3 linked regions of the Anolis sagrei genome follow. The protein of the gene in region 1 interacts with the protein of each later gene in a pairwise test. Links are inferred from orthologs where the notes say so. Each region holds a gene or a part of one and is shown in the gene's direction. Other genes may lie near its edges.

Region 1 (7,569 bases):
CCAACCCATCTAAAACACAGACATGTGCCTTTCACCTTAAGAACAGACAAGCATCCCAAGCTCTGAGGATTACCTGGGAAGGAATCCCACTGGAGCATTGCAGTGCACCCAAATACCTGGGAGTCACTCTGGACTACACTCTGACCTACATGAAGCACTGCCTGAATATCAAGCAAAAAGTGGGTGCTAGAAACAATATCATACGAAAGCTGACTGGCACAACCTGGGGATCACAACCAGACACAGTGAAGACATCTGCCCTTGCGCTATGCTACTCTGCTGCTATGCATGCCCAGTGTGGAACACATCTCACCACGCTAAAACAGTGGATGTGGCTCTTAATGAGACATGCTGCATTATCACGGGGTGTCTGTGCCCTACACCACTGGAGAAATTACACTGTTTAGCTGGTATTGCATCACCTGACATCCGCCGGGAAGTAGCATCCAATAGTGAAAGGACCAAGGCAGAGGACATCTCCAGCTCATCCCTTGTTTGGGTATCAGCCAGCACGTCAACGACTTAAATCTAGCAATAGTTTTCTAAGATCTACAGAGACACTCGCTGGAACACCCCAGCAAGCGAGAGTCCAAAAGTGGCAGGCTCAAACCCAGAGCCTCAATCAATGGCTGATACCAAATGAGAGACTCCCTTCTGGGCACACAGGAAACTGGGTGACTTGGAAGGCGCCGAACAGACTGCACTCTGGCATCACGAGATGCAGAGCCAACCTTAAGAAATGGGGCCACAAAGTGGAATCCACGGCATGCGAGTGTAGAGAAGAGCAAACCACTGACCGCCTGCTGCAATGCAACCTGAGCCCTGCCACATGCACTATGGAGGACATTCTTGTGGCAACACCAGAGGCACTCCAAGTGGCCAGTTACTGGTCAACGGACATTTAATCAACTACCAAGTTTGCAAACTTTGTGGTTTTTTTTATCTGTTTGTTTGTTTTGTTCTGTTAGAAATGTAATACAATGGTCTGGTTGCCCCTGACACGATAAATAAATAAAATAAAAATTCCCAGGATTCCATAGCATTGAACCATTGCACTTAAAGTGGCGTCAAACCGTATTAATTCCACAGTGTAGATGCCCTTTGGGTGACCTTGGGCAAGTCGCCCCTTTAAAGACACACAACCACAAAGTTCACTGAGGTGTGGTTGTTATTACTAAGGGCTTAAGGAAACCCATCCTTAGTCTTTGTATATAAGTGGGAAATAATACTGTCACCACTGAAATAATACTGTAAAAGCTGAAATGTGAGAACCGAACTGTCAGATTAGTCTCTCTTGAGGTTTAAGGGCTCAACTCTTAATATCTCCAAGAGGTGTAACCATATTGGAGCAGAAATCACAAAGTATTTAGTGGTGCCTTTCAGATTAGCAAGTTTTCTTTGGCACCCCCTTTTGTGAACTCCAGGTCCCTCACATTGGATTAAATGGGTGACAGTTCATCAGGAAGGTGCAACGAAATGCTCTTTGAATTCTTCGAACTTCTTTTGTGTTCATTTGTGTTTGTACTGCTTTTGTGGCTTTTGTTTTTCTTGAACCCTGGCCCAATCGAACTTGAAAGCAATGCCGTTTGAGTGACAGCTTCATTGCCAGGGTTCAATGCTATGGGGTCCTGGGAGTTGAAGTTTCCCAAGGTCTTTAACATTCTGCCAAAGAGTGCCGGTGCTTCACGAAACTAAAATTCATAGGATCCCATAACATTCAGCCATGGCAGTCAAAGTGGTGTCAAACTGCATTAATTCTACAGTGTAGATGCACCCATAAATATATTAAGTATTTATTTGTTTATAATATAACAATATTAATAATAATAATGGGAATTCATAGCAGTTAACCCCTTTAACCGTGATTACTCTATTCTATGGATTCCTAGGATTTGTTGTTTGCTGCACCACTTTATGTATTTATTTATTATTTGCTTTCCTGCAATCTTTACTTGCATTGTATTTAATTTCCTGCATTCTTTGCTTGCATTTATTTCTATTATTATTACTACTACTACTACTATTATTTGCTTTCCTGTATTTTTCGCTTGCATTATATTTAATTTCCTGCATTCTTTCCTTACATTTATTTCTATTATCATTATTATCATCATTATTATTATTTAATTTCCTGCATTCTTTGCTTGCATTGTATTTAATTTTTTGCATTCTTTTCTTGCATTTATCTATATCATCGTCATCATTATTTACTTTCCTGCATTCTTTGCTTGCATTTATTTCTTCTTCTTATTATTATTTGCTTTGTTTGCATTATATTTAATTTTCTGCATTATTTTACTTGCATTTATTTCTGTTATTATTATTATTATTAGTAGTATTATTATTCCTGTATTCTTTGCTTGCAATTATTATTATTATTATTATTATTATTATTATTATTAGCTTTCCTTTATTCTTTGCTTGCATTGCATTTACGGTAATTATTTCCTTACATTTATATTATTGTTCATTCGTTCAGTCGTCTCCGACTCTTCGTGACCTCATGGACCAGTCCACGCCAGAGCTCCCTGTCGGCCATCACCACCCCCAGCTCCTTCAAGGTCAGTCCAGTCGATTCAAGGATGCCATCCATCCATCTTGCCCTTGGTCAGCCCCTCTTCCTTTTGCCTTCCACTTTCCCCAGCATAATTGTCTTCTCTAGGCTTTCCTGTCTCCTCATGATGTGGCCAAAGGACTTCAACTTTGTCTCTCGTCTCCTTCCCTCCAGTGAGCAGTCGGGCTTTCTTTCCTGGAGGATGGACTGGTTGGATCTTCTCGCAGTCCAAGGCACTCTCAGCACTTTCCTCCAACACCACAGCTCGAAAGCATCTCTCTTCCTTCGCTCAGCCTTCCCTAAGGTCCAGCTCTCACATCCGTAGGTGACTACAGGGAATACCATGGCTTTGACTAGGCAATGGATCTTTGTTGCCAGTGTGATGTCTCTGCTCTTTACTATTTGGACATGGCTCTCCTCCCAAGAAGGAAGCGTATTCTGATTTCCTGGCCACAGTCTGCATCTGCAGTCATCTTTGCGCCTAGAAATACAAAGTCTGTCACGGCCTCCACGTTTTCTCCCTCTATTTCCCAGTTGTCAATCATTCTTGTTGCCATAATCTTGGTTTTTTTGACGTTTAGCTGCAACCCGGCTTTTGCGCTTTCTTCTTTCACCTTGATTAGAAGGCTCCTCAGCTCCTCCTCGCTTTCGGCCATCAGAGTGGTGTCATCTGCATATCTGAGGTTGTTGATGTTTCTTCCAGCCATTTTCACCCCAGCTTTGCATTCCTCAAGCCCCGCACATCCTCGCATGATGTGTTCTGCATACAAGTTTATATTATTATTTTGTTATTATTAATAATAATTTTCCTGCATTCTTTGCTTGCATTGCATATAATTATTTCCTTACATTTATTTCTATTATTATTATTATTATTATTATTATTATGAATTTTCCTGCATTCTTTGCTTGCATTTATTATATGTATTATTCGCTTTCCCGTATTCTTTGCTTGCATTGCATTTAATTATTTCCTTACATTTATTTCTATTATTATTATTATTATTAATTTTCCTGCATTCTTTGCTTGCATTTATTATATTTATTGTTAGATTTCCTGTATTCCTTGCTTGCATTGCATTTAATTATTTCCTTACATTTATTTCTATTATTATTATTATTATGCCTTTTTTCCTCTGGATTAACTTGAACTCTATTAATTATTATTATTATTATTATTATTATTATTATTATTATCTTAGGACCCATAAGGCACCTGATGTCCCTTGTGTGTGGGATGCATTGAAAGGCTGCCTTGTTTGCCTCCTCCTCCTCTATACCAAACCTTGCCAAAAAGAGAGATAAAAAAAAAATTCACTCCCTCTGAGGCTCCATTCACAAAAATGTTGCTGCTGCTGATTCATGCTGATGAGAGCTTTCCCCAGCCCAGCCCCGCCCCTCCACCCCCAAGCCACGCCCCCTTTAAGCCACGCCCCCTCTGCTCTGCCACTGTCATATATTTCAGAGCCTGCCTTTCAGGGAAGCAGAAACTTCTCTTGATCTCTTCCAGGCAAAAGGCACTTGCAATCCCAGGAAATATCTGCTGGAAATCTACTTTCCTGACCTCAAAGGTAAGGCTGCATTGATGCTGCAAAGCTCTTATTGCTCAGATGCACTTTTTTGCTGCTTTTAAAAATACTTTTCATATATATATATTTAGTGTCATCAGATCCCAAGGACTTTCTGTAACCGGTGCCAGGGAAGTCCTTTTCCTTGGCAAGGGATCAGGAGAAGGCTCTTGTTACATAAATGGAAAATCTGTGCGCGTTGAAAGCCGCTGTGTTTTAAAAAGCCGGCACGATTAGCAAAGAATCATAGAAACATAAGGTTGGAAGGGACCCCAAGAGGATATCTAGTCCAACCCCAGAGAGCAACCATACCATTAAAAGGTGTTCCTATGCTGCTTACATTTCTTAGGATGCACCTGTTGAATGAAAGTTTCGAAAAGTTCCTTTTTGGGTGAATTATAGTCTCTGGAATTGCCCAGTTTGGTTACTGGATTGCTTGGCAGTTACAGGTGTGTCTACACTTCACAATTAATGCAGTTTGACAGCACTTTAACTCCATGCTATGGAATCCTGGGAGTTGTAATTTGGTGAGGTACCAGTCCTTTTTGGTAACAGTAGTACTTATTATTATTACATTATTATTATTATTATTATTATTATATGCATTAATTATTATTATTACATTATTATTATTATTATTATATAATATAATAATAATAATAATAATAATAATAATAATAATGGAACCCCACTGATGATGCATATAATAAATAATAATAATAATAATATAATAATAATAATTATTATTATTATATGCATCATCAGTGGGGTTCCGTGCTCTCTGTCTGTAGGGTAAACTACAACTCCCACTTGGCATGTCAGGTATGTGTGCCAAGTTTGGTCCAGATCCATCAGTGTTTGGGTTCACAGTGCTCTCTGGATGTAGGCAAACTACAACTCCCACTATGTTGAGTCAGTCCCCTCAAATCCCTCCAGTAGGTTGAGTTAGTCATGGGAATTCTGTGTGCCAAGTTTGGTCTAGGTCTTATCATCTAAGAGATCACTATTTCTCTGGTTGTGGGTGAACTACAACTCCCAGAAAGGAAGGTCAGTTCCCCCCAAGCCCCTCCAATAATCACATTTCAGCATGTCAGGTATGTCTGCCAAGTTTGGTCCAGATCCATCGGTGTTTGGGTTCACAGTGCTCTCTGGATGTAGGTGAACTACAACTCCCACTATGTTGAGCCAGTCTCCTCAAACCCCTCCAGTAGGTTGAGTTAGTCATGGGAATTCTATGTGCCAAGTTTGGTCCAGGTCCATCATCTGTGGAGATCACCATTTCTCTGGTTGTGGGTGAACTACAACTCCCAGAAAGGAAGGTCAGTTCCCCCCAAACCTCTCCAATAATCACATTTTGACATGGTATGTGTGCCAAGTTTGGTCTGGATCCATCGGTGTTTGGGTTTACAGTGATCTCTGGCTGTAGGGTAAACTACAACTCCCACTATGTTGAGTCAATCCCCTCAAATCCCTCTAGTACGTTGAGTTAGTCACGGGGGGCGGGGGTTCTGTGTGCCAAGTTTGGTCCAGGTCCATCATCTAGGAGATCACCACTTCTCTGGTTGTGGTGAACTACAACTCTCAGAAAGGAAGGTCAGTTCCCCCCAAACCCCTCCAGTAATCGGATTTTGGTATGTCAGGTATGTGTGCCAAGTTTGGTCTGGATCCATCGGTGTTTGCGTTCACAGTGCTCTCTGGATGTAGGTGAACTACAACTCCCACTGTGGTGAGTCTGCCCCCTCAAACCCCTCCAGTAGGTTGAGTTAGTCATGGGAATTCTGTGTGCCAAGTTTGGTCCAGGTCCATCATCTAGGAGATCACCATTTCTCTGGTTGTGGGTGAACTACAACTCCCAGAAAGGAAGGTCAGTTCCCCCCAAACCCCTCCAATAATCAAATTTCGGCATGTCAGGTAAGTGTGCCAAGTTTGGTCCAGATCCATCAGTGTTTGGGTTCACAGTGCTCTCTGGATGTGGGTGAACTACAACTCCCACTATGTTGAGTAAGTCCCCTCAAACCCCTCCAGTAGGTTGAGTTAGTCATGGGAATTCTATGGGCCAAGTTTGGTCCAGGTCCATCATCTGTGGAGATCACCATTTCTCTGGTTGTGGGTGAACTACAACTCCCAGAAAGGAAGGTCAGTTCCCCCCAAACCCCTCCAATAATCAAATTTTGGCATGTCAGGTATGTAGGCCAAGTTAGGTCCAGATCCATCAGTGTTTGGGTTCACAGTGCTCTCTGGATGTAGGTGAACTACAACTCCCACTATGGTGAGTCAGTCCCCTCAAAGCCCTCCAGTAGGTTGAGTTAGTTATGGGAATTCTATGTGCCAAGTTTGGTCCAGGTCCATCATCTGTGGAGATCACCATTTCTCTGGTTGTGGGTGAACTACAACTCCCAGAAAGGAAGGTCAGTTCCCCCCAAACCTCTCCAGTAATCAAATTTTGGCATGTCAGGTATGTGTGCCAAGTTTGGTCCAGATCTACCATCTGTGGAGATCATAATTTCTCTTGTTGTGGGTGAACTACAACTCCCAGAAAGAATGGTCAGTCGTCCCCCCCCCCCCCCAACCCCTCCAATAATCAAATTTTGGCATGTCAGGTATGTGTGCCAAGTTTGGTCTGGTTCCATCGGTGTTTGGGTTCACAGTGCTCTCTGGATGTAGGTGAACTACAACTCCCACTATGTTGAGTCAGTCTCCTCAAACCCCTCCAGTAGGCTAAGTTAGTCATGGGAGTTAGTCATGCTCTCTGGCTGTAGGGTAAACTACAACTCCCACTATATTGAGTCAGTCCCCTCAAACCCCTCCAGTAGGTTCAGTTGGTCGTGGGGATTCTATGTGCCAAGTTTGGTCCACTTCCATCATCAGTGGAGATCAGCATTTCTCTGCTTGTGGGTGAACTACAACTCCCAGAAAGGAAGGTCAGTTCCCCCCAAACCCCTCCAATAATCAAATTTCAGCATGTCAGGTATGTGTGCCAAGTTTGGTCCAGATCCATCATCTGTGGAGATCACCATTTCTCTGTTTGTGGGTGAACTACAACTCCCAGAAAGGAAGGTCAGTTCCCCCCAAACCCCTCCAGTAATCAAATATTGGTGTGTGTGCCAAGCTAGGTCCAGATCTATCAGCATTTGGGATCACAGTGCTCTCTGGATGTAGGTGAACTACAACTCCCTCTACTTTCCCTAAACTTTTCTGGTGGATTGTCAATATGGGGACTCTCTTCCAACTCTCTATGAGAAATCCTAGATTTGAGCTGTCCATTGACTTGGAAAAGTCTGGAACGTCAATGGGGACGCATGCGTGAGCCTGGCGGAGTTTGCGCCCAGAGGCCTTCCTCCGCCGAGCATGACTTATGTAATGTTACCTCTATGGCAGTGAGAGCCACAGGCGGAGAAGGAGGAGGGAATGTGCCGGCGGAGAAAAGAGAGGAGTGGAAAGATACCA
Region 2 (7,909 bases), on another chromosome or scaffold:
ATTAAAATATAGGTAAATGTAAAGGCTTTCCACTGACATATAGTCTAGTCGTGTCCAACTCTGGAAGTTGGTTCTCATCTCCATTTCTAAGATGAAGAGTCGGCATTGTCCGTAGACACCTCCAAGGTCATGTGGCCAGCATGGAGTGCTGTTCCCACTGATGTCTGAAAGGAAACTTTTATAGGCTTCTCAAAGGCATACTGTGATCTAAATATGGAGACTGAGTTCTGAACATGCCCAGTTCTGATCACATGGTCTGCAGCCCCTTCAACAACAGTGAGGTTAAAGAAAACTACAAACTAATACATACAGTAAGAAATTATATAGATAACAAGTAACTAGTGGAGGCTTGAGCAGGTTGTAATTTTCAGCAAAATAGGGAGAAAAAATGCAGGGTTTTGCAGCGATTCCAAAAATATAAACATAGCCAGTTTAAACGTGCTTATTTAAACAAATTACTAATTCCCTTTTTACAGTCAACAATTATAATAACCACTAAAAAGGTAAGGTAAAGGTTTTCCCCTGACATGAAGTCCAGTCGTGTCTGACTCTGGGGGTTGGTGCTCATCTCCATTTCTAAGCCGAAGAGCCGGCGTTGTCCGTAGACACCTCCAAGATCATGTGGCCGGCATGACTGTATGGAGCGCCGTTACCTTCCCACCGGAGTGGTACCTATTGATCTACTCACTTTTGCATGTTTTCCAACTGCTAGGTTGGCAGAAGCTGGGGCTAATAGCGGGAGCTCATGCTGCTCCCCGGATTCAAAATGTGATCTTTTGATCAGCAAGTTCAGCAGCTCAGTGGTTTAAACCACTGCACCACCGGCGGCTCCTAAATATATTAAAATATATTTGTATGCAATAGATCAGATTTAAAATGTTGTTGAATAAGCATAATCACTTTGAGACAAAGGTCTTAAGTATTTCCAAAATGTTTCTAACGAGGTTTTTTTCTAGCTTGAGGGATACTTTAACTTTTCCATTAATAAAGCAAGCGTCCATACACTTGGAGTAATTTTGAGCCTGCATTATGTCATGCTTTCCTTAAGGTTCCTCCATCCTCAAAAACTGCTTAAGATGTATAACCTCAGCAGTATGGGATGTAACCATGAGCAGAAGCTCTCATTTTGACACGTTGCTGACCACATGACATCAGCCTGTGGGCAAATGTGTGTGAAAAATATTCAGCACGTAGGCAGGTTAGAACAAGCATTTTTTTGTTGCTGAGACATCAGAATGTCTTTGGCATCTATGTGCAGCAGGCAGAAATCCTCTTGTTTATGCAGTGCACAAAAGAACAACATCTTTAGACACACAGCATAGGAAAATGCAGATTCTTCACAGGAATCACATTTTGCCATGCATTATGTATGAGCAGTGAGTGTGCCAATAATTATACATCATCTGTGTGTAGACAGTGTAATGATAACTTTTAGTCACTAGATGGCACTGATTTTACTAGCTAGCAGGGGTCAAGAGTTTCCTTTGGACCTTATCATACTCAAAGTGGAAAATGCTTTTCCTGTAGGCAACCATGGCTTTTGAGGACTTGGTACATACAAGCCAGATCACACTTCCCTGTATCTATTAAAATAATGTGCTTTGTCTAATAACATGGCAGATGGATAACTCCTAGGCTTGGCTGATAAAAAAAAAATGGTTCAAAACTCGTTTTTGGATGTAGGGGGTGCTGGTGGTTCGATTCTAAAGTCAATTCCAATTTTCACAGAATTTTTTTTTCAAAACTTTTCGAAACTTCCGAGACTTCCGAATCCTTTTGTTAATAGTTTGAAAGTGTTATTTCCTGTTTCCTTGGGTGGTCTTTACTTTGAAAATAGTTGTTTTACTCCAGAAGCAGGGAAAAGCAAGTGGAGGAATTTCCACTTGAGTTGAGGCCAGGAAATGTCTTCCTTCTGTGGTTTAAAACTGGCTTCTCTGGCTTGAGCTGAGGCCAGGGACCAGAAGCGGGGAAAAGCAAGCGGAGGAAATTCTTTCCTTCTCTGGTTCAAAACTGGCTTGAGTTGAGGCCAGGAAATTCCTTCCTTCTCTGATTTAAAACTGGCTTCTCTGGCTTGAGCTGAGGCCAGGGACCAGAAGCGGGGAAAAGCAAGCGGAGGAAATTCTTTCCTTCTCTGGTTCAAAACTGGCTTGAGTTGAGGCCAGGAAATTCCTTCCTTCTCTGATTTAAAACTGGCTTCTCTGGCTTGAGCCAAGGCCAGGAAATTCCTTCCTTCTCCAGTTTAAAACTGGCTTCTCTGGCTTGATATGAGGCCAGGGACCAGAAGCGGGGAGTCATATCAAAATGATGAGAAAAGCTTTGGAAGGGCAAAGGGACTTCTGGTTTTTAAAAAAGGTAATTTTAATGAAATTATTATGAGCAATGAGTTATCCAAGCAACTCTATCCATGCTTTATAACTCCTCCTAATCTTTCCAATGTTCCCCTACATGGATCGGGACTCCCTTCTCCAAGTGGGGTAGCCATTATCTCCCTGGTTTCCCTTAAAATCTCATATGTAAAAAAGGTCATGAGTCAGGGAACCTTCAGAAGCTCTGCCCAACGTCACTGCTTTTCTTTTTTGAAAAAAAAAGTAACCTCCAACTCAACAGGGAAACAGAAAAACATCTTCTTACTAGCAGTTTGAAAGCATGCAATGCGAGTAGATCAAAAGGTACTTCTGTGGGAAGATAAAAAGGCCGCCCCATGCAGACATGCCAGCAAAAAGATCAGAGATGTCTGAGGACAACAGGCTCCTTCGGCATGGAAAATGGAAATACAGCATCTCCCCATGGCCGGAAGTTGAGCATTACCTCCAGGTGGCGGAGATAGAGAAGGGGGAAGATCTTTATCTTATCTGTGTATTATATGTTGTTGTTCATGTAAAAAGGCATTGAATGTTTGCCTAATATGTGTTCTTTAATCCGCTCAGAGTCCCTCCAGATAAAACGTAATATAAGATGTACTATTATTATTATTATTATTATTATTATCTTTTTGTTCCTATGGAGCTGCACAGTTCTGACATTTAAACAAAATAATCATAATAATAATAATAATAATGGAAAATAATAATGTGAAAGTATAAAACACAAGTGGCTTTACTCAGGTTCTTTCTCTGGCTGCAAGTGGAAGTGTACTGGTGGTCACATCAACAAAAATGGAGTGGTAGGAAAGCACGGCACCCAAACATGCTCCGATGGACACATGACATTGGCACAGCTGACAAAATGCATATGGGAGTAAGGTCACACCTAGAAAGCCATGCCTCTGATGTGCATTAAGGAAAAGCTACAGGTGAAGACTATTTGGAATGCGTATTTCATAAATTGCTGGCCACATATCCTTTGCATATTGATATGAAGTGGGTAGTCCATTGTGTGATCATTTCCATAGGGACTGGTGTGTAAAGGGTGTTATTTCCCTGTGTGATAAGGTACTTTGTTGAACAGAGACAATATACAGTTAGACCTTTCACTTTGGCAGGTGTTAGGGGCACAGGGCTCTGCAAAACTGAAAAAAAAAACATGCATTTTAATAAATCCGAGAGAACATCTCTGTAGGCATATCTAGGTCCTCCATCATGGCTCTATGGTCAACTTCTTCCAGAGGTTGACCATTGAACTGTGCTGGAGGACTTACAAATTTCCTAGAAAAATGTTGATCATAGAATTGTCCTAAAGAATTTAGAGATTCCTAGAAAGAATGTATTAATCAAATTCGCAGCTAATCAAATCTGCAAAAGCTAAGCCTGCAAATATATAGTTTTTGTCCAGCTGCTTGATGAGTGTGCTTTTCCCCCTTCCATGACAGTCCAACCAATTCTATGTGTATTAATGGATTGCTCTCTTATTCTCTCCATTTTGCACAATTGTTTTGTCAATGCTTTCTTATACATCTCTTTGTTGGCAAATGTGTAACTGGCACACTGGTTTTGGATTTCTATATTTCACATGAAATAAAGAGAGCGTTGTTACATCTGTCTGCCTGTTGCTTCTTTTCTATGAAAAGTTTCTTATGCTAAGACCCATTAAGGCAGTGGTTCTCAATCTGTGGGTCCCCAGGTGTTTTGGCCCATAACTCCCAGAAATCAGAGCCATTTTACTAGCTGTTAGGATTTCTGAGAGTTGAAGGCCAAAACATCTGGGGACCCACAGGTTGAGAACCACTGCATTAAGGCATTTTTGGGAACAACCTAGGTTTCTATCTATTCCATATCTGCAATAGGCGCAAAATGGTGTTTAAATCTACATTCATGTTGACTTTGTCATACTACAAAAATCTTTGCCATCCAAACCCTGAGCCCTTTCAACTCTAATATTTTTTCCCAGCATCACCCACTCTAATCCAGATAAAAGAACAGTCTGCAAAATACAACTTCAAGAAAATGTTCCAACTTTTGCAGTGTCATAGCTATCAACTAACTCTTAAGATTCTCATAACTTGAAATAAACATGGATTTTCTCTTTCTTTGCAGAAATAAAAGAATCTTGCCCTCTTGCAAAGACACAACTAGAGGATTATGAAGCACATCTCCATTTCTAGCTGGTTGTCTCAGCTGGGGCTCCCAGAGTATGGGGCTCTTTTTGATCAACAGTATGATGGGGTAGAGGTAAGAAATCAGATTTTGATGAGAAAATTGCTCAATTCATTTCAAGCCACAGCAGTTAAAGCATCTCTAACCACTCTTTAGGATACTAATATTCAAAATGTGTTCTAGGAAACTTTGGTGTATTAAATAACCTGCTTCAGAAAGGCCTAAAATTCACAAATAATATGTATACGAGCCCGAACAATGTTTCCCATTTTCGAAAAGCAAATCCAGGTGTATGTTTGCGAGTAAGGGAGTACTTAATCTTTCTGGTGGTGTTCAGATCTTCTCGCTTCCAGCGTAACCCAAAGAGTTTCACCCTGCATTAGATTGCAGAATTTTCACCCAATTTGAATGCTTGAGGGGAGACTTGTGTTCACTCGGACATGAGAATATGTTGTGGTTAAATATCTCTTTTCAGTAACATGAATGTCTCTGCTTGTAGCTGGATTTTGTTTTAAAATCTCTCTAATCACATTTATATAACCTCCAGTAGTTTACAGATGAAAACATGGACACGTATGACCAAACAGCATTAGAACATGTTCAAATTGGTAAAAGTAATTAACGGGAAGGAACACATCAATTCGAATATGCTGGAACTGTACAAGTTTGCCTTAGCTGAGTAGGAAGGATGAGATTCCACCCTCTCTGCCCAATTCTGAATTAATTGACTGCAATATACTTTTTTTCACTTCAAACTTGGTTTGCCACCACTAGAGCAGTGGTTCCCAACCTGTGGTCCATGGACCACCAGTGATCCGCAAGAACTAAAATATGATCCGCGCCCTCACTGTTACTACACTGTTACAACAAGAATCATAGAAGAGACCTCATGGGCTATCCAGTCCAACCCCCTGCCAAAAAGCAGGAAAATTGCAACAGGTCTCCCGAAACCCTCTTATAGTGCTGAAGCAATGGGGATGTCAGGAGGGGTGAGGCTAACTACCCATGAAAGGCACGACAACAAGCCTCTTGACTGCTGCTTCCCCTGCTTCTCCCTCCCCCTGAGCAGAGCCGTTCCATTTTGCACCTTGGTGTTCTTGTTTTTAGGCCTGTTCCTGGGGTTATTTGTTTCAGAAAATTCCATTAGATAGACCACATCAGCTCTAGATTATTATTTTATGGTTTTCTGTGGGCAAGCAGGTGGTGACTACTGGATGGTATATGTTCTGTATCAGAAACTAGAGCTGATGTGGTCTATCCAATGCAGTTTTCTGAATCAGCACCCAAAATAACCAAACTGAATCTAAAGTTGACCAAAAACTGATTCGTAATCCTTTTGGTACTAATGTTGGAGAGTGGTCCCTGTTCAAAGTGGTCCCTGTTTAAGTAGTCCCTAGTCAAGTGATCCCTGGTCAAAAAAAGGTTGAAAACGACTGCACTAGAATAAGCTAAAGAAGAAGGAGGAGAAAGAAATTGAGATGTTTTAAAATCAGCTGGGAAAGTGTGGTGACAGAGGAATAATCATGACTGTCCCCAGCATATCAGGACAGTTTAATTGTGTGTATATGCAAGAAATATGACATCCTCTCAGGTATTTATTTAGCTACTTAATTTTGCAGGTGCTGTTTATTCGTTGCTGCCCAATAAACTAGAAAAAGTAGCCAAAAACAATTGCTGGATTGTCTGATTTGTTTGATGAGAGGGGGGCAAAACAAAGTGGGGAAGGTGCCTAATGGTACGCTCTGGTTTCTTTAGCCATTATTGTTACAGTCCTCATTAGGCTGACTTTTTGGAGGAGAGGGAATTTCTACTCCATAAAGATGATTCTGTTTGCAAAATGTGGGATTCTTCCAAGCTTACTGACACTTTCTCTTTTATTTGGCAATTTTGACCATGGAGAACTAATACCTCTGAAATTTGGAAACAGAGGAAATGATGTGTGCAACTTTCAGAAACATAGACATCACATCTAATCACTTTTACTTAAAGCCATGCTCGTTGGAGACTTACAATAGTAAGGCTACATGCACAAATAGTTCGTTCTTAAATTACTTCAAGTCAACTTAAACTTACAGTAACCTCAAAAGCTGCCCTGCTCAGGTCTTGCAAGCGCAAGGCTGCGGCTTCCTGGGTTGAATCAATCTGCTTATAGGGCAGTCTCCCTCTTTTCCCACAGCTTTCCATTTTTTCAAGCATTATCGTATTCTCCAGTGAGTCATGCTGTCTCATTATCTCTATCCAAAGTACAGCAACCTCAATCTCACTATTTTATCTGAAGCAATATTTCACTTCACAGGATCAATGAGCTGGAAGAAGCCACAAGGGCCATTCGACCCAAGCCCTGGCCATGCAGGAAAACCTAATCACAGTACTCCCAAATAGGTAATCTGTTTGTAGTGATGCTTCATGTGGCATAATGTAAAGTAAACCACATGTAGTTCACGTTTGATCAGCCCACACTTCTTTGCCAGAGAAAGAAAGCATGCCATGCAGATGAACAATAAAGAACAAGTAGTTTACTTTTTGTAATTCAAAACAACATATTTACAATCATGTGATCAGTTACATCGACTTACATAATATCCCATTGACTTGGCCACAGTAGTCCATGCTCTGGTTACATCCCATATAGACTACTGTAACGTGCTCTACGTGGGGTTGCCTTCGAAGACTGTTCGGAAGCTGCAAATGGTCCAACGAGCAGCAGCCAGGTTGCTAACAGGAGTGGTGCTCAGGGAGCACACAACTCCTCTGTTGCGCCAGCTCCACTGGCTGCCAGTTTACTTCCAGGCACAATTCAAAGTGCTGGCCTATAAAGCCCTACACGGTTTCAGTCCGACTTACCTATCCAAACATATCTCTCCTTATGAAACATCTAGGACATTAAAATCTTCTGGGGAGGCCCTGCTCCCGCTCCTGCCTTCTTCGCAAATGTGTCTGGCGGGGACGAGAGACAGAGCCTTCTCAGTGGTGGCCCCTCAACTGTGGAACGCCCTGCCCAGAAATATAAGAGCAAGCCTTCCCAAATACAGCATAGCTAAACGGAATTATGGTACTACTTGATAACGCAATGGAATAACGATTTGACATGGAGACGCTCATGATAATGTTTTAAGGCTTTGTACGTTTTTTATATTTTTATATTATATACTATTGTTTTTAACAGAATTTCTTGATTGTTTTTACTTGTTGTAATTGTTGAGGCATCAAATTGTTGCCAATTTGTGAACTGCTCTGAGTCACCTCTGGACTGAGAGAGGGTGCTATATAAATATAGTAAATAAATAAATAAATAATGAGAATTTAAAATGGTCTTCCTCTGTCTCTCTCTGCTTCTCTCTCAGCACTTGCATAGTCTAAGCCTGAAAAAACGTAAC
Region 3 (8,438 bases), on another chromosome or scaffold:
AGAAGGAATATTTGGCACACCCGGGGTTTGTCAGAACAAATTGCTGCCCTTGTGTTTTTGAAGCTGCTGAATGTAAACTGATCTACCCAAGCCTGCTTACCAAGGAATGTTAGGGACCTCTCCCACCTATTCCGTGGAACTATTTTGGGGCTGTGCATAGGCATGGTCCAGAGGACATATGATGTCACCACTGTAGTGAAGCTGAGCTGATTAGAGCCTTGTAGAAGCCTGCATGAGAGATGGCCAAGGACCCCGTGTACACAGGCAGGATAGAAATGTACCAAATAACTCATTCACAAATATGTATTCTGCATTATTGTGTACATATGTAGGATCTTACTTATTGGTAAGTCTGATTTTTAAAAAATAAAGGGTTTAGCTCTTGTGCATGGGAACAAGAGGTGATTTTGATGGCTGAAGATGCAAACTCTGAAATGCAATCTTCTGTATGTCTGAACATATCAGATTTTATTCCCAGGTGTGAGAGTATAAAAGGAGATGGAATCATGTGTCAGACCAGGTCTTGCCAAACATCTCCAAACAGCCTTAGCCAACATATCCAATGGTCAAAATTGCTGGATGATGCCATTCAACAACCTCTGGAGGGCTGCACAGACCTTCATCCCAGAGTATACGATTGCAGCCTAGTGGGGAGTAATGGGAATAGATCCAATCTTTCCATCTTAATTTACAAGTATTTATATAGAATTAGAGTAGATGCTAGCTGTTTAAATCAGTGATCACAACCAAAGGGGTTGTGATGGCACACCCAAGCCTTTGGGAAAAACTACAATGTCTGGCTTTATTCGGGGGGTATCTGATACCTTCTGTTAAGATTAAGACCCTTAGCAGACAGAGGCACTTTAGGTAAGGTAAAAAGATAACCAAAATGAGTTTACTGAAAACAAGATGAATAAAGGGTTAACTCCACCCAGGATAGTTATCCTATATCCGGGATATAGAATAACTTGAAACAATACATTACAAAAGGAGATTTTGCTGGTTGCAGTCATCTCTCTGGAATTTTGAAGGTTTCTTGCCTCTGGTGCAAAGCGATGGTTATAAACTGTCTCAATCTTCTTCCTTCTGAAGCTTAAGCTGGTCAAAAGCTTCTGTTGTCTCTTGGACTGGTGGTATATGGATACTGTTGAATGCAGGTGCTAAGGATGTCTGTTTTTTGGATTGCTTAGGCCTAGGATTACCAGATAATTCCTAAGCCTCTATTCTCTGTAGCTCTGTTGCCAAAAAAAAAGGAGTCCAACAAAAGAGCTCTATGCAGGCAAATGGAATAGACCAACTAGTGCTGGCCTTTAGGAGGTTTTTTATGCTCCATCCAAAAAACGAATACAAAGAAAGGTATCTACACTATTGGGAAAACCTAAACAGGAGGAACTAAAGCAGAGGAGAGGAAAAGACAGAGCCAAGACTTCACAGAGGACCAACAGCCAAAAACATCCCTGGCCCGATCTGGAATTTTACACTCCAGATCGGCCATAGGATAAAGAATTTGTGTAGATGTGTCCTGAATCTTCTGGTACAAAATCTGTTTGTATCGGGCTGCCATGATCACACAAGGGCAAGGTCATAAGGCCACAGTGAGCAATGCCACAATATTTCATAGAATAATGTGGACAAGGATGTCATAACAGAGCTCCATCTGTATTGGTTTAAAATAGTTTTTACAACTGACTTGTCATGGAAAAAGCTCTCTATAGGCGACCAATGTTTGAATGTGCATAATGGCTAGTAACATGGTCCTTGCTTAGAACTGCATATTGTTTCAGTAGAGCAATGAATTGGGGCGGGGGGGGGGGTGGCTTCAGAAGATTGCAGAATTCTATCATTGCTGGTGTTTTCATACTGCAGTAACCCGAATCCCTAGAGCAGTCACATAGTTATGAGCGAACCACCATTGAGTGGCTTCTTAGATTTCCTCTTACATAGTTGCCAGAACATAGCTCATGAGTCTCTCCAAATAATTCAATTACAGTAATTACTCCATCAATATATAGGCAAAGTGGATGTAAAAAAACAAATGCGGATGAAAAAAATTAGAAAATAAAGCATTTACAATATTATCTAATTTTTCTTTCCTTATAAATTCAAGGATGTGTATGTTTGAGAGAAGAGGCGTACCTTTTGACAAGACTAGTGAACTCTGGAAGAGAAATGTAAACAGCATGTCAGCCTGACTTTAGACAGCTGCTTTCAGGAGATTTTGGAGAACAGATGGTTATACATGTCAAAGAATCTTAAGTAATGGGGGAAAGGCATGTCAGTTGTTTTAACAACGGCCTAAGAAAACAATGAGATCAATGAGTTAGCACACATGTTATGGCAAAGCCAGGAGACCTCAAAACATTTTGCAGTTGGTTTATTGCAAATTAACTCATAGATACCAAAATTAATACAGTGTTCCCTCACTTATCACGGGGGTTATGTTCCAGGACCACCCGCGATAAGTGAAAATCCACAAAGTAGGGACGCTTACAGTATGTACAGTATATGTACATACATGTACAGTATGTCCCCTGCCCGCCCGCCCTCCCTCTGGAAGATGGACCCTCTCTCAATCAATCTCTCTCTCTCAGAGTATGTCCTATTGAATTCTGTGCAGCTAAGTTCTGCAACAACATGTATAGGGTTAACTACGAATTAATGCTATACATATTAATGATTTTATGTCACAAATAAAAAAAAGTAGTTTTCTCCCTGTGTTTATCATCTCCATTTATTATTTAATTGGTCCTTAAAATGTACTGATACTGCAACAGATTATGACCCCAATATTTCTGTGAAATATCTCCTCAAAATAATAAAAATACAGCCAGCTCTCCACAGTCACTGGGATTAGGGAAACAGGACCCCCACAACATTGGAAAAACCATGAATAAAAAACCACTACTGTGCATTATGTGAGAAAAAACCTTTCTGGAAATTTCTACATTCTTCAGCACAACCCTATGGTCAAGTTAAACCATAGAATCACCCCAGAGAATCTTAAGATTCTAGAGAAGTATTCTCTCTAGGAATCTCGTAAGTTCTCAAATATGATTCTGTGCTCAATTTCCAGCAGATTTGACCATAAAGTCACACTGGAAGACTTAGAGATCCTAGAGAGAATATTTTAATCAAATCCACAAAAGTCAAGCCCACAGATGTGGAGGGCTGACTACTACTGTTCATTTTAGTTCTCACAAAAATCTGATGAAAGCAACGGCTTGAATATAAAGAAAGACAATATTTTACACCTTTTGTGTTAACCATGGTCCTAAATTTGTATGAGAGGACAGGAATATGCAATCTTGGTTCTCCCATTCTCAAGCATTCTAATCATGTTATGTTATTCATTACAATCTAAAGAGCTTGTAACTGCACAACTGCATTAAGACTGACATATTTTGCTGCTTTCCTGAAGAAAAAGAGACCTCCAGAAAAACATGATGGGGGTACGTTGGTATCCATCTATAGTAAATGGGCTCTTTTGAATACTCTGTGGGACATCACTTGTCTTGTAGGCAATGACATTGTCCAGAAGGGGATCCGTTATTTTAGATCTGATCCTAACCAACAGTGATAACCTGATAAATTGGTTCCTTATGTGGGAAGTTCCTTATGTGGGAGTGATCATGTTCTCCTGGAGTTTGTTGCATAGTGGAAAGGAGAAGTGAAGTGTAGTCAGTTTCTAGATTTCAAGAAAGCTGATTTCAGTAAATACAGGGAAATAGTGTGATCGCATGGTCAGCTCTGAACACATCCATTGTGCTCGGCTACTGGTTTTTGGTTGTTGATGGTTTATGTTTTTACGATGTTTTGTACGGTTTTTGTTTTAATTTATTGTAATGCAATGTATTTTACTGTGACTGGTCCCCATGTAAGATGGCCCGAGTCTCTTTGGGGAGATGATGGCGGGATATAAGAATAAAGTTATTATGGTCAAGAACACTAAAAGAGAAGGGTGTTCATGATGGATGGGAGTTTCTTAAAAGTGAGGTATTGGAGGCACAGATTGAATCCTTTTGAATCACGAGGAAAAACTGGAGACGTCTAAAGAATTCAGAATGGCTGTCATTAAAGATTTTTCAAGTGAGATAAGATTTAAGGGATGTGTACAAGACATAGAAAAGGAAAGAAACACTAAAGAGGAATTCCAACAAATAGTCAACATGTGAAGGGATAAAATAAAAAAGCTATAGTGCACAATGAACTCAGATTTGCTAGAAAGACTAAAACTAATAAAAAGGGTTAGATTTTGTTACTGTTATTATGCCCTTAGTGAAAGGAAGAACAAGGAAATGGTAGGGCCCACTGCATGGAGATAATGGTGAAATGTTTACAGGAGACAGAAAAGTGTAGAACTACGCAATGTCTTCTTTCCCTCAGTATTTTCTCACAAAGAAAATGGTGCTCAACCTGGGAAAGTGGGTCAGATGATGTGGTAGGGGGAATGCAACATTGAATAGGTAAATGTGCATTATAGGACTACCTGGCTACTCTAAATGATCAAAATCTCTAAGACAGTGGTTCTCAACCTGTGGGTCCCCAGATGTTTTGGCCTTCAACTCCCAGAAATCCTAACAGCTGGCAAACACTGGGATTTCTGGGAGTTGTAGGCCAAAACACCTGGGGACCCACAGGTTGAGAACCAATGCTCTACAACCAGACGAACTGTTTCCAAAAATGTTTAAAGTACTGCAACAATCCTGGAAATGCTGTTTGATATGAGTCTAAAATGGCCCTAGAAAAATTGAATCCTTTGAAATTACTACATATTTTGGGTCACTTTACAATGACTCCTACTTCTTTATTACAGACTTTTAAAATTTGAATCTTGTGGATTTGTTTATGAAAAAAATAAGTTTTCTACAGTATGTGCGCCAAGTTCTTAACCATTGAAGAACTGCATGAGAAGGTAGATTTTTTTTAAAAAAATGAAAAAGTGATTTTAGCCTGCCTAGCCCTTTCAGACATTCTGAAAGGATGAGCTCTGTTTCTTCCTCCCCTCCTCCACATGAACACTCTCCCTAAGAGTTTATTTTTAGTTTCCTGATCTGCAACCTTTCCAAAGCATGCCATAGGCACGTTCGCACACACAAATCTGGAGGGGAACGTTACTCAACAATTTCTCTTGCTTCCTGCTAAGATGCTGGTATTGATACCAAGGGAGAACCTCAAGATGACATGTAGACCAACCTACGGGATGGTTCTTCACATTGCTGTCTAAATATTCGCAGACAAACAAGGAGTGAAAGAGAACTGTGAACTCGTTGACAGAGCAACTTCCTCTTTCCTGTCCTTTTCCGGATTGCAAGATCTTCCTTATTTTTGTTATCATTCTTTAATTTATAAATTTATTCACAACCAATCTCCATGCCGTCGGCTGTCAGTACCAAGATGGTAAAAGGGTCTGGGGCTGGACCCATTGCCTGCCAGAATGCTAGCACAACAGCAGAAACAGGTGGAGGCGCAGGAGGGATCTACTCTGCCATCCTCAGCCGCAACCAACCCATCATCGGTGCCAAGGAGAAGACTTTTCACGAGCTCCATAAGAAATGTCTCGAAAAGAAAATTCTTTATGAAGATCCAGATTTTCCAGCAAATGACTCCTCCCTTTTCTATAGCCAGAAGCTCCCTGTCAAATTTGAGTGGAAGAGGCCACCAGTGAGTAGACCCTTTGTCTGATGTAAAGACTGAACTTGTTGAATGTCTGCTTATACCAGCAAGATTCCATTCTAAATACAAAAGTATAGATATGAAAAAAACAATGTCTTGAAAGCAGCAAGGTTTTAAGGAATAAGGTTTGCTTTATCTCCCAAGATTTGGCTGGTGTATTTTAGCTGACAGTGGTTTTATCTCATTTCAATCCCAAATTTAAAACCTGTTTTGAGTGACAGCCAGAACAGTCCTATTCCCCAATAGGAGGTTAACTATTTTCTCTAATTTTTAACACTTACTTTAAAATCAGCATTTTACTTTTACATGCATATTCATTCATATATGCATGCATACATATATGTGATGCTTCTGTTTCACCATAAGCTGCACCTTAGTAAATTGCTTCCTCTTTTTGTTTTTTTTCTTGCTGGTAATTGTAATCAATTATGAGGTGTGAATTAATTAATCATGCAGTTGTTGATGATGTTGTTAAAACCATTCACCTTTGCAAAAAGCCAGTAATGCAATATTAGCATGGCGTTGCTGCACCAAGGTTTTCGAATTCCGTGGCCCCAAAAATGTATAAACAAAGATAGGAAACTTGCCTTCTTGTAAAATATACAATTTTCTATAACATCACTTGTCTTAACCTAGCAACATTGTCTTTCCCTCCTCATCTAGGTACCCTTTACTCCAAAAAAGTTGTTCTCTAAGGGCCCTTCCAGGCAGGCCCTATATCCCAGGATCTGGTTCCAGGTTTTCTGTTTATCCCAGATTATCTGGCAGTGTGGACTCATATAATCCAGTTTAACGCAGAAAAGCTGGGATCATTCTGGGATATAGGGCCTGTCCGGAAGGGCCCTAAGATACTCCTCTGTAAGGAAAGGAATTGATTGCAACTTTCCCTTCTACTGGCAACTACTATTCCTAATGTTTGATTGGTTTATCCCCTCCTCTCTGGCTGTTTCATCAGGGGCAACAGTAGAGGGGCAAGCAAATGACAGAGAGAGGTTGGTTAGATTAAAACTTGGACCAGGTTGTAATTGACACAGTAAAGCCTTCACTAGCCAGTTTTCTCCTATCAACTCTAGGTTTTGAGATACAGAACATATGTCATATACCAATCTTCACTTGCTTGCTTATAGAAGCATTATAACCATATCTAAGAGCTGATACAGTCTATTCAATGCATTTTTCTGAATTTTCTGAATAACCCCATAGACAGGCATAAAGACCAAGACAACAATGAATAAAATGTTTTGTTGATCTGTGTTTCCATTTTAGAAGAGCATTAAACAAGATAAGAGAGGCTGCATCAGTTTGTTTACTCTTTTGATAGACCAGGGCAGTGCAACCACTTCATTTCAGTAGGTCTTTTGTTAATGTCCTCCCATGCTATTTTCACAAACAGGTTTGTGAACTGTGGACTGTACAGTATGGCTGTGAGGTGGATTTGTAATTTGTTGATAGACCAAACAAAATGTCCACATCAATGGTTGCTCTTCATCTCGAAGAGAAGTGCTTAGTGTCATAACCCAGAGTTGTATCCTGGTTCCAGTGTTGTTCGGCATCAATGACTTTCATAAAATGTATTGCAAGAGGGATAAATATCAGGTTCTACATCTAGGAAAGAAAAAGGAAATGACAAATATAGGATGGGTGACACTTGGCTTGAAAGGAGTACAAGTGAAACAGATATAGGAGTTTTAGCAGACCATAAGCAAAACTCAAGCCAACAATTCTAGATAGATTCAACAAGAGTATCGTGTCAGATCAAAAATATAATTGGTAGTACTAGTTTATTCTGTTTTCATCAAATTTCACCTGTACTACTGTGTCCACTTCAAGAGGGATACGGATTAAACATCTCCAGAGAAGGACAACTCAGATGATAAAAAAATAAGTAAACCAAGTTATATAATGGACTTAGGCAGTTGAGTCTGTTAAGTGTGGAGAAGACTGAGGGATGATAGGATATACATATTTAAATGTCTGAAGTAGTATCATGTAAAAATAGAGAAAGCTTATTTTCTGTTACTCCAGAGGCCAATTGATTCAAATCAGAAGAAAATAAAGTCTACCTAAACATTAGATAGAATAATAATAATAATAATAATAATACTTTATTTGTATCCAGCCCCATCTCTGGGGATTCGGAGCAGCTTACAACAAAATAACAATGCAAACTATAAACAAGCATTATTAAGAAATACAACAAAATTAACTGAAATCAACAAAAATAGTGACACAAAATAATATGAAATAAGCAACATGTTAAATTGACTTAGATAACCATAATTCATAACTAAAAGTAATCAGTGGTTATTTCATATAACTCAAAACATTCCAGTCACTGGTCTGGTCAAAAGAACAAAAATCCAATTAAAACTTAGTTCCATTTAAATTCTTCAACCACTGGATGTTGTGTCAAAGGCCTGTTTTAAAAGCCAGGTTTTCAACTCATTCTGAAAAGTTGAAAGTGCGGAACCTTACCTAATCTCCCTGGGGAGGGTGTTCCAGAGTTAGGGGCACAATTGCGAAGGCCCTCTTCCTTGTCCCCACCAACCGTGCTTGTGATGGCGGTGGGACCGTGAGAAGGGCCTCCCAGACAGATATTTATACTTAAACAGGTTCATAGGGAGAGATGTGGTCATGTAAATAGGCTGGACCTGAACCGTGTAGGGCTTTGTATTGGGGCTGGAAACATATAGGCAGCCAGTGGAGCTGCTTTAGTAGGCAGTGGTATGTTCCCTATAATTAGGTCCAGTCAACAACCTGGCTCT

What was found.
Region 2: the proteins of OSGIN1 (region 1) and BCAR3 interact in binary tests that used the Homo sapiens proteins (3 or more experiments, as listed by UniProt). The link is inferred for Anolis sagrei from reciprocal best matches to the Homo sapiens genes OSGIN1 and BCAR3.
Region 3: the proteins of OSGIN1 (region 1) and CAPN3 interact in binary tests that used the Homo sapiens proteins (3 or more experiments, as listed by UniProt). The two-hybrid records come from large-scale screens. The link is inferred for Anolis sagrei from reciprocal best matches to the Homo sapiens genes OSGIN1 and CAPN3.

Annotation. Positions count from the first base shown.
Region 1 is NC_090028.1:8,518,765-8,526,333, reverse strand, and holds the start of OSGIN1 (oxidative stress-induced growth inhibitor 1), read left to right. Parts: upstream 1-3,996; 5' UTR 3,997-4,125; intron 4,126-7,569. UniProt on the Homo sapiens protein: Monooxygenase catalytic activity. Involved in regulation of cytokinesis; promotes RHOA activity, probably acting locally at the midbody in late cytokinesis.
Region 2 is NC_090024.1:146,119,862-146,127,770, reverse strand, and holds the start of BCAR3 (breast cancer anti-estrogen resistance protein 3), read left to right. Parts: upstream 1-4,492; 5' UTR 4,493-4,517; coding exon 4,518-4,607; intron 4,608-7,909. UniProt on the Homo sapiens protein: Acts as an adapter protein downstream of several growth factor receptors to promote cell proliferation, migration, and redistribution of actin fibers.
Region 3 is NC_090021.1:287,044,829-287,053,266, reverse strand, and holds the start of CAPN3 (calpain-3), read left to right. Parts: upstream 1-5,077; 5' UTR 5,078-5,370; coding exon 5,371-5,661; intron 5,662-6,905; exon of another isoform or gene 6,906-7,278; intron 7,279-8,438. UniProt on the Homo sapiens protein: Calcium-regulated non-lysosomal thiol-protease. Proteolytically cleaves CTBP1 at 'His-409'. Mediates, with UTP25, the proteasome-independent degradation of p53/TP53.